2 linked regions of the Drosophila melanogaster genome follow. The gene in region 2 interacts genetically with the main gene of each other region. Each region holds a gene or a part of one and is shown on either strand. Other genes may lie near its edges.

Region 1 (4,910 bases), on a different chromosome or scaffold from region 2:
CAAATTTCAAGCAATTAGTTCTTTTGAAAACACTCAAACTTCTTGTCATCATAAATTTCTACGTTTTTCAAGTTTTTCTAGTTTTTGTTGTACTTAAAATATGAAAAAAACTTATTATATTTCAACCAATTTATTCGTCTCCAAAGAGCTCAGATTCATCCGCAACTAGAAACCAGAAATGCATTCGGAAAACTACAAACTCAATTAGATGGCCATAAATCTCCGGCAGAGTCAAGAACCCTCTAAATTTTGGTTGATAAAATGCCGAAATTATCACGGCCCAAGCACATGATATATGGGCATTCGGCTTGGCCGGTTTAACCCATTAGCCAGCCGGAAGATCGCTCAATTAGCGTTGCTCCTCGCTGCTGGTCAGTCCCAAGTCCCAAATCCCAAGTGGGTCACTCGAGGAAAGGATTTGCGAATCGGGTTTTTATTTGCCATTACCGAAAACCAAACTCCCTGGCCTCTTTGTTGGGCCAACAAAGTGACATAAATCTTGGCGAGCGCTGGCACAAACTCAACCGGAACTAAAGCAATGACGCAGCAGGAGCACCAGGACACATGTCGATGCGTTCTGCTCATCCATTTCGCTTGCTCCTCCTTGGCCAGCAGTCATAACGGGCGTGTGTGTAAAGCGAGTGTGCCAGTTCCGAGATTTATCGGCCCGAGGGGTGAGTCCATATCTGCACATCCTGCATCTTCTATCTGCGTATCGGTTTGGCAGGCCTCGAATCGCGGGACATCAATGCTCAATGCCCAATGCCCAATGCCGGATGCCCAGAACGACAGGCGTTCGATTGAAATTAATTGAATTTGCGCCCAAGCCACGAACTTGACTTCGTTTCAAGAAATTTCTCAAGCGCGCAGGGGCGGGCATTGTGCACAGAGAGAAATTTTTATATGAAGAATATAGTGTTTTATGTATGAAGGTTTTCTGAAAGTTCGCTTTAAAATGTTTCTCTTGAAATTTCCAATAATTAAATTCAAGTTTGATAGTAGCAAAAGGAATGTTTATCCCCCCCTTTGATAATTTTGCAACTTGTCTTTAATTACTTCTCATTTTTTAAGAGTGTTGCGAAAGAAGGACCGTGGACGCTTGTTTCCTGTTTATGCTCGAGATGTTTTGCAGCATAAATTACGCGTACACATATACCCATGTATTCGCGCATATGATATCCTTGACAAGTCGAGAAAGGAGAAGGGAAAAAAACAGGAACATTAAATTTATTTTTATTTCGCTGCCTTATAGGGAAAGCAACCCCAGTGAAAGGGCCCCCAAAGACGCGCGCTATGTGCGGTCCGTTGACTTTGGCGAAGTCATGAATTCGCTTGCTTATTTTTATGATTTTGGCTAGTTTTTGTTTTTCGGCCCTTAGATTGCTCGTCTATTTTCTGAGGGTTGTAAGTTGCACACTTGGTTGCCCTCCAATCGCCGAAATCAAAACGGAAACGATGATCGTCTCGGAGAAAATTCAGGAAAGCCAGACAAATTTATCAAGTTTGTGTGGGGGTGCGCTTTGGTGGGGCTTGTAACCTTCATTAATCATGTGGATATGTTGTTTTTATAGGATTCGACTACAAATCGCTTAATCTTTAAGCCTTGTTTTAGTTAGACTGCATTAGTTGGGGGTTTTATTTTAAATTTGGCGCTCATGCCTTTACATTTGGGGTGACCCTGCACTTAACAGTCTGCCATTGGCATAACAGCTCTGTGTGCAGACTACTTTTTGCTTGCCGTAGTAATTTCAAATATTATAGAAGTATAGGCAAACTATGATTAGAACTTGTAAATTTATATATTTTTTATTTATTTTGTAATTATGTGACCCAAACGCTAATTGGTTCCGATAGCCGCAATGACTTATCGATAGCTGCTTGACGCACGGTCACACTGTCTTAACTACGGAATATTTTGTAAAGTGTTAGTTTTATTTACTCGATTTTAGCTCTCTTTAAGCCCTTTTCGCCGTGTGTTTCTGTAAGTTAACCAATGTTTAAAACCCCAAGTGCACAAATCAGTTTAAAGCCCCTTTCCCGCGGCATGAAAACGCGTCAAACAAAGCCAGTGGAGATTCAGCTGCGGCCTGGCCAACAAGAACTCATTTCGATTCGTTCGCACATTTTGTTGTTGCCGCCTAGTGGGTGCTCCTCCGGGGTGGAGTCATCATCGTTATCCCTACCCCCAGTTGTTGGCGCCGACTGTCCGGATTTTGGTCTCTCCCACATGTCCCGCACATTTGTTTTTGTCGGTCACGCGAATTCCGCCCTTTTAACCAAGTTTCCAGTGTAACAACAAAAGGGGGCAAAAAAAGGGAACGCCCGCATTTGTATGTTTGTTCGTTTGTTTGCTTGTAAGCATCGTCTACGTTTTATGCTAATTAAAGTGCAACATTTTTTTTTTAGCCAAAGCTGCGAATATAATTCAATTAACGAGAGTCCAACTGCGACTGCCTCGCATTATCAGCACAGCAGTTGGTTTGGTTTGACGGCTTTATCTGAGCAGCTGGATGAGCGTGCAGAATAGCATGGTGTATATGTATATGGGGTACATTCCATACGCGATAAGATAACCCCCGGTTGCTGAAGAAGAAGAAGAAGAAGCGCCGGATTCGCGGGAGTTGGCAATTGCCTTCAATTCTCAAGTTAATTGTGGAGTTAGCTGTGCAACTGCAACCCTCAAAGATCCGAGACGAGGACCCACAAGACTCGTGCCTACATCCCGCTGTCAGTGGCATAGAGATTCACTCTTCCCGGGATCAGGCCCTCAATTGCGTCAATAATTGGACCTAATTGAAGTCAACAGGCTATTATTTTGCCTCCTTTGTTTATGCACGTTTTTGGAAACTGTTGTATTCAATTATTTCAACTGAGATTGAAATTTCTCATGTATTCTGTTTGTGTAAGAGTTTTAAATGCAGATACTTTCCTAAAAAGAGACTGGTCCTGTTTAGATTATAGTATCTATAGAGATTTGAACCCATAAAGATTACGTTAATATTGTTGATTGTTTAGAAGCATTCCTTTTGGGGAATAATCTAGTCCGTCAAAGAGTCATTGATATTATAGATAAGAAATGTTTGGGTCATATAACATCATCAAAACAAAACGTCATTACCAAAACATTTCAAAATACTAATACTTACAACGCTCCAATCGCTTGACTAGCTTAGCCCTTGAAAAGCAGGAGTAATGTCCATTTCTTAGAAAACCCCATGTGACTAAGCGCACTTCCTCTTCCAATTTCTCGCTTCCTCTCTGCTCACTTTTGAGAAGAAAGAAAGAGCCATAAGTTGGGCAACAAAAGATTAGTCACCACTGGCACGGGTCCATCACCTTGTGGCCACTACCTTCTCCTCCGCTGCCCCTTCATTTCACCGCCCTCCCTCTGGCTGGCACCTTTTGTTTTGTTTACATTTGCAGACGGCGATCAGGAGAATCGGAAGAATCAGAGAGGAGAGAAGCCTAGCAGCAGGTGGCTCTCTTCGCGGCTCTCCCATCTGTTGCTCATGCTGCTCACACTGCCCATGGAACCGAGCGAACCACTCGCTTCTATGGCCCGCTCATTCGAGTTTCGTCCGTCGTCGGTGCCAATTCGTTCGATTGTGCCGCGCCCGATATCGCTATTGAAATATATATATATATACATATATCTACCCATATATATGTATAGGCGATTCGTACATATATGAATATCGCATATCGTGCATATCGTTCAAGTTCAAATATCAAAAGAGTTTCCAGCCCAATTGTGGGAATTAAAGAAGGTATATACATGACGAGAGTGCGCGGTCATAAGTGTGTGACATATGGTGTTATTTTTATCCATTCCGAGTGGAATATGTGCCACAAAAAGGCAGTTCCATTGTGTAACTAAGTTCAAACGCCAAATGCACGTTGCGCCTGCGCGATGCGCGCCAAAAACCCATCGGAAAACCCTTTTCCCCATTTCGGATGTCGAGCGTTTTAGAAAACAAGCTGAAAATTACCTCATCGCGCTGCCGGCGCCAGCGTCGACGTCTGCCGTTTGATGTCTGCCCCTGACTACGCTGGTCCACAGAGAAAAAATTTGGATTATAATAGATCACTAGGCTATATCTTATGACGTGCTAGCGAAATCTTAGGACTAGTCAGATTAGCATAATTCGCTTTTCACGATGATGCTTTTTTTTGTATTTGTATATGGATATAAACCTGAGCAAAGGGTTCCATTCAACAACAATGTATAGTATTTGATTATGTAATCAAGAAGTACTGCATTATTTATATTACTGTTTATCAAAAAAATACTATATTATTCTCTGTGTACACAAACATATAGATATTTCATTCTATATTTCTTGCTTGCCTAGCAGCTGGCGGCTGGCCTCCCACTCCCCTCCTCCACAAATGCGATTTATCTTTAAGATACAACGTACGCTAAGATTTGTTTGGTATCTGTACGTAGATTTATTGTTTTTTTTTGTTACGCTCTTTCCTCGCTCTTCTCTTCACCGATTTAAATATCTCGCGTCTTTCGATGTTTTGTCATAATTTCTCTGGCTTTTGTCCTGTTTTCTACACATTTTTTGTCCGATTGTTTGGCAAATTTCGCCGTCGCTCCATTTTGTGGGCGTATTTTGTATATTATTTATCCATTATCTCGAAATGTCAATGCGCTCGTTTAAAGCTGTTGTTATTTTCAGTCTCTCTCACTTTTTCGAGCGTTTCGACCTTATTAGCAGTGGGCTTCGGTTTTGGAATGCCCGCCACATAAACACGCTTCGGAAACATAAAGAAATCGAGATCGGAGCTCATTTTCACTCCATGCTCCACTGTGTGGGCAGTGCATCGGCTCCACATCTACCAAATATTTCGGACGTAGACGTGGGGACGCTCAGCATCCGCCAAGATATTAGTACACTTCACAA
Region 2 (4,712 bases):
GCTCTAATCGAATTTTGAAAAATTTTGGGATGTTTTTCTTTTTTTCATAAGTGTGAGTGATTGGCGGTAGATAAGCGGTTGGGTAAGAACATAGAACGCATACTTGTGTGCCACCCTTGATCGGCAATTACTTACGTAGATCAGCTTGTTGTAGTATCTCTGTCTCAAGTTATGGAGCACAGAGGCATCGTTAAGGTATGTCAAGTTGGACATATCCTCGGCTTTTTCGTATTTCGGGGGGTTCACTTGCTGGAGCAGATCTTTCTTTAAGTCTCGTGTCTGTTTATCATTTTCGTTCGGTTTGTCGGATTCAGTTCGATTGGTTATGTTTAGTTTTTGTACAACATTTGTTGGTTAGACGTTGGGTTAGCAGTTCGTTTTTGAGATTGAGAGAGAGAGAGAAGAGATACCCATACATTAGTGAGTTTCTGGCAGTACAACACTTACGTAGATGAGCTTAGCATAGTAACGCTGACGCAGATTGTGCAAAACGCAAGGAGTGTTAAGCACGGTCATGTCGGCCATATCTTCAATTTTTTCGAATTTTGGTGGATTGACTTTTTCCACCTTCTCGGATTTGATATCTCGTACCTAATCGTATATGTAGGCGAAATCTATAGTTTCATTCTAATTTTGTGGCTACATTATAAGCTATTGAAGTGTATGAGGTCATGACAAAGTCCCAGTCTTATGCTATCCATTGAAAAACCCTTCTTGTAGTAGTAGTAGTAGTACCAAGAAGATTTTCCCATTGGGTAACAATTGACTAACACTTTAGGTCGACCATAAGACTCTTCAATAGCTTTTTTTTTTTTTTTTTTATGCTGAAGCCTCGTGTAGACGATGACTTTACCTCTCCACCCTGCAGACCAACGGAGACGATATCGCCCTTGGTGGCCTTGATCTCACCAAGGAGATAACCCTCCTTCTCGTCGGGGATCCAGCAAGACTTCTTCGAGTCATAGGGTTTCGATTGATCGATACGCCTTTGCTCCAAAGACACGAACAGGTATGGGGTGGGATCCTCATCCTCCTGATTTGCGACTGGCTTCGGCATCTTGCTTAAATTTCGTTTAGAAACTTAAAAACTCGAAAAATAATATTGGGACTTTTCAAAATTTCTTTGTTAATCGCGTCGTGAGCCCAAAACTTCCCTGTAAATATACAAAAGAAAAATAATATTTATTATATGGTTCTCAGAAAAGCATACTATTTTTGGAATTTTGTTTCGAAGTCTGATTCTTTTATGGATTTTATGCTTTTGACCCATTTTGACAGCAGCAGCAATAGCGGACACTATAACAGTTCTACGCGTGTGTGCGTGGATAGGATTTCGAAATTTAATTTCGATTTCCAAATATGAACATTTTTCCCGTTTCGCGCTTTCGAAATTCCCGTTACCGTAACCGGATATTTATTTATGTGTGGCTTTGATTTTATCTCACACCTCAAAGTTAATTAGGCCTGGTCGGTGCTTGTGTTGTTGTTTTTGTTATAAACAGACAACAAGTGAATTGTGTGGGTTGTCGCCTAAATATAGATCACGGATCCGATACGAATATGTATATGTATACCACTTATATATATATATATCAGAATGCTTTGCATATATACGGATTTTCGGGGCGTTGGTATTTGTTACGTAACGCCAATTTTCATTTAGATATTTGTGTACATTTCTCCAGGTTTCTTTGTGAAAAAATCTACAGACTATTGATACGCCAAAACAATGCTTATTATTACAAATGTAGAGAGGTTAAACTGTCACCACAACTCACTCAACTGGTAACTACTACCGTTTGGAACGCGATTTCGATATTTTGAACAGGTATCTCGATATGGTGGCGTGTTCTCATACAAGCAATTCACGAGATCGCAATGATTCCTTTCAGTAAACTTCGAAGGCGGAACGATTTTCGACAATCCACACTAAATCGACAATCGAAAATTCGATTCGAATTGACGCGAACTTTTAACGAATGCGTTATTTTTAAAATTCTCGAAATTATTTCGAAACTAAAGTCACATACATATTCGTCTATATGTAATTCGTAATTTCGAGAAGCTTTTTGGCTCATGCTACCACATGGCACACATAGACATAATGTATAAGTATTGGCGATCTCTTTCTAATGTCTTTGGTTATTTTTAAAACATATTCGAAATTATTTCGCCCATGTATATGAGCCGACAACGAATTCGAGTATTCTAAATCTATTTTCTATAGTATGCATACGCATATGTCTCGGCCACACAGGTATTTGTGTATGAAATCATTTCGCCAGTAATTCGAAATGGCTATTACAGCATTTCGAACTCACATCGAAACACGAATTTTTCATTTGATGAAGTAACAGCTGGCTGTCTCTTTCTGACATTTAAATGATCTATTTGCTTTAGAATTTTTTAAGTAGTCGAAATTTAGAACGATGAAAGTCTTTTATTCCAAAATTCTTGGGCGAGAAAGGATAAACTAGTTTTTTGTGAGAGTCCTAAAAGTAAGAAAGAAGTTTCCTTATATCCTTGTTACTTCACTTTCAGATTTTTTCGCTGATATGATCGAAAGTCAAAGATTTGTTACACAAGAAGTTGAAGATAGTTGCATACTTCTCAGAAAACAAATTAACGCCTATAGGTTATGTTAAGTAACTGATGTACTTCCTAAGAAAAGATTGTTATTTGTAATCCAATTCGATACGATAATCCGAGGTATTCCGGTTCACTGTTCTGATTGTCACAGAGTTTTAATAGATCCGTTTTCGCTCGGATCGTAGTTAAAGCACCACACACACACTTTTTTAAATTTCTCGATTTTGTTGCATATATAAATATATATAGGTAGTAATAATTATTTTAGTTTTATGCTTTTTGACCAAAAGGTCAAATTGTTGCTGCTGCCGCTGATGCTGCTGCTACCGCTACTGCTGCTGGGTGGTAATATCCAAAAATCAGAGATCGCACATCAAAGGTGTTGCACTTACGCGCTCGAAAGCCGTTCTGAACCGTGCAACCGGTAAACTTGCCTTTTATACGGGGCAACTTGATACCCATGGATCCCGTAAGACCCCGAAAGCTTTTCGATTCGACGATCGGTGTGCGTGGCGCTGTTTCTGTTTCGGTTTTTCTTGCTCCCTTTTTCGGTCTAGCACTTGGCTGCTCTGATTCCTATTCCTCTTCTCTAGCAAGTGGGCATTTCTATGGGGGATTGCGGGATGGTGGATATGGTATATGTGTGAGCATATGATGCAATCAGGATCGTTGCGGAATCGAGAGCGGAAAGCTCCTTCTCCGACGATTGCCATTGCGTAGGCTCTCTCGCAATTCTCCCATTAGTCAAATAGTAAAATTCATTTCAATGACAACTTTTCCGCCGTGAGGCAATTCTTCTCCGCCGGAATCCCTCGCTCTTTCCAAGGGGAGCTTTCTTTTTACTTATTTCACATATCATTTCTAGACGCACACATGTGTGTATGGCATGGCATGGTGGGATCTTTATTTGTTTTTCTCGGTGATCATTTTTCGCTTTTTGTTCTGGTTTTGGTTTTTGGTCACCTCAATGCCAATCCGATCTGGCACCAATGTGGGTGGAATACAGGGGGAATGCTTGCGATCAGGCGGCGCTATGTGGTTTTCCTCCTAATCTGCGATCACTTTACGATCAGTGGCTAAACAGCTGTTCGAGAAGACCGATCGTATGCTATCAATGGCTACAAACATTCGTTTGGTCATCGTTCAGTTGTAGAACGAAAAAACCCGATCCTTTGAGTTAATGATTGATGATCTATCTAGCCTAAGGATCGGCCATAGCAAGCACATGTCCGCCAAAAGTAATGATGTGAACTTCAAAATAACATAGATGGGCTAGAACATGCAAGCAATTGCAATGCACGCAAAAAAAACGAAATAAAACACATAGTTGAAGAGATACTTTAGATATAGATAGATAGACAGAGAAATGCCACATCAAATCAATGTAGTCGGCGTCCTTCAGAGCAATGCGATGCGAAAATCTTTAGGTTTCAATGCTAAAATCCAATACAAATACGATTGCAAATACGAGTGCATTATGAAATTCGTGTTGTAGCGATTTGTCGAGAATTTATCAAATCTATAATGCTGACAAAGAGAATTATGATAAATGCCAACAGAATTGAAATAGTCTCCCCTCTTACAACGATGTCAAATTCCGACACAGAAATTATTCATAATTTTAAGCAAAATTACAAAATTTCATGTGCAACATTTTTGGCAAAGAATTATATGATAAATGTATATACACCCACTGCAAGGTATTTTCGACAAATACTTTTCGTAATGAGTTGGTCCGTCTTGAATATTCAATATTTAACAATGATTATTGTGTAGCGGAAAAAGAATACGCAAAAAAACAACTCATGAATTCGGACAAAAACAACTTTCAAACATTTTTTGAGGAATATTTATAGTTTGAAAAAGATTTCAGTTCTCATTCAAGTGTGAGTGTTTTTTTCCTTTATTTTCGGTGCAGGGTTTGCTGCTCTCTAGTCTTTTCTCACATATAAAATTATAATACTTTTTGCTAAGTTTCTGAAACAAAATCTGTGACATTGTCGAGCAGAATTGTGGGCAAAAAGACAAAAACATAAATTGAGCATTTAAAACAAATTCCAAGAACAACAAACAACAATTTAGCACCTGACAATAAATTATTTTGGGGTTATTTGTTGTACTTG

Evidence for each region. A genetic interaction does not mean that the proteins touch.
Region 1: of Mhc (region 2) and rhea, changing one suppresses a phenotype caused by changing the other (phenotypic suppression), as found in Drosophila melanogaster (one study listed by BioGRID).

The regions. Positions count from the first base shown.
Region 1 is NT_037436.4:8,543,109-8,548,018, forward strand, and holds the start of rhea (rhea), read left to right. Parts: upstream 1-1,892; 5' UTR 1,893-1,981; intron 1,982-3,566; exon of another isoform or gene 3,567-3,767; intron 3,768-4,910.
Region 2 is NT_033779.5:16,765,026-16,769,737, reverse strand, and holds the start of Mhc (myosin heavy chain), read right to left. Parts: upstream 3,005-4,712; 5' UTR 2,982-3,004; intron 2,813-2,981; exon of another isoform or gene 2,628-2,812; intron 1,962-2,627; exon of another isoform or gene 1,779-1,961; intron 1,155-1,778; 5' UTR 1,058-1,154; coding exon 854-1,057; intron 592-853; coding exon of another isoform or gene 448-591; intron 280-447; coding exon 136-279; intron 1-135. UniProt on the Drosophila melanogaster protein: Muscle contraction.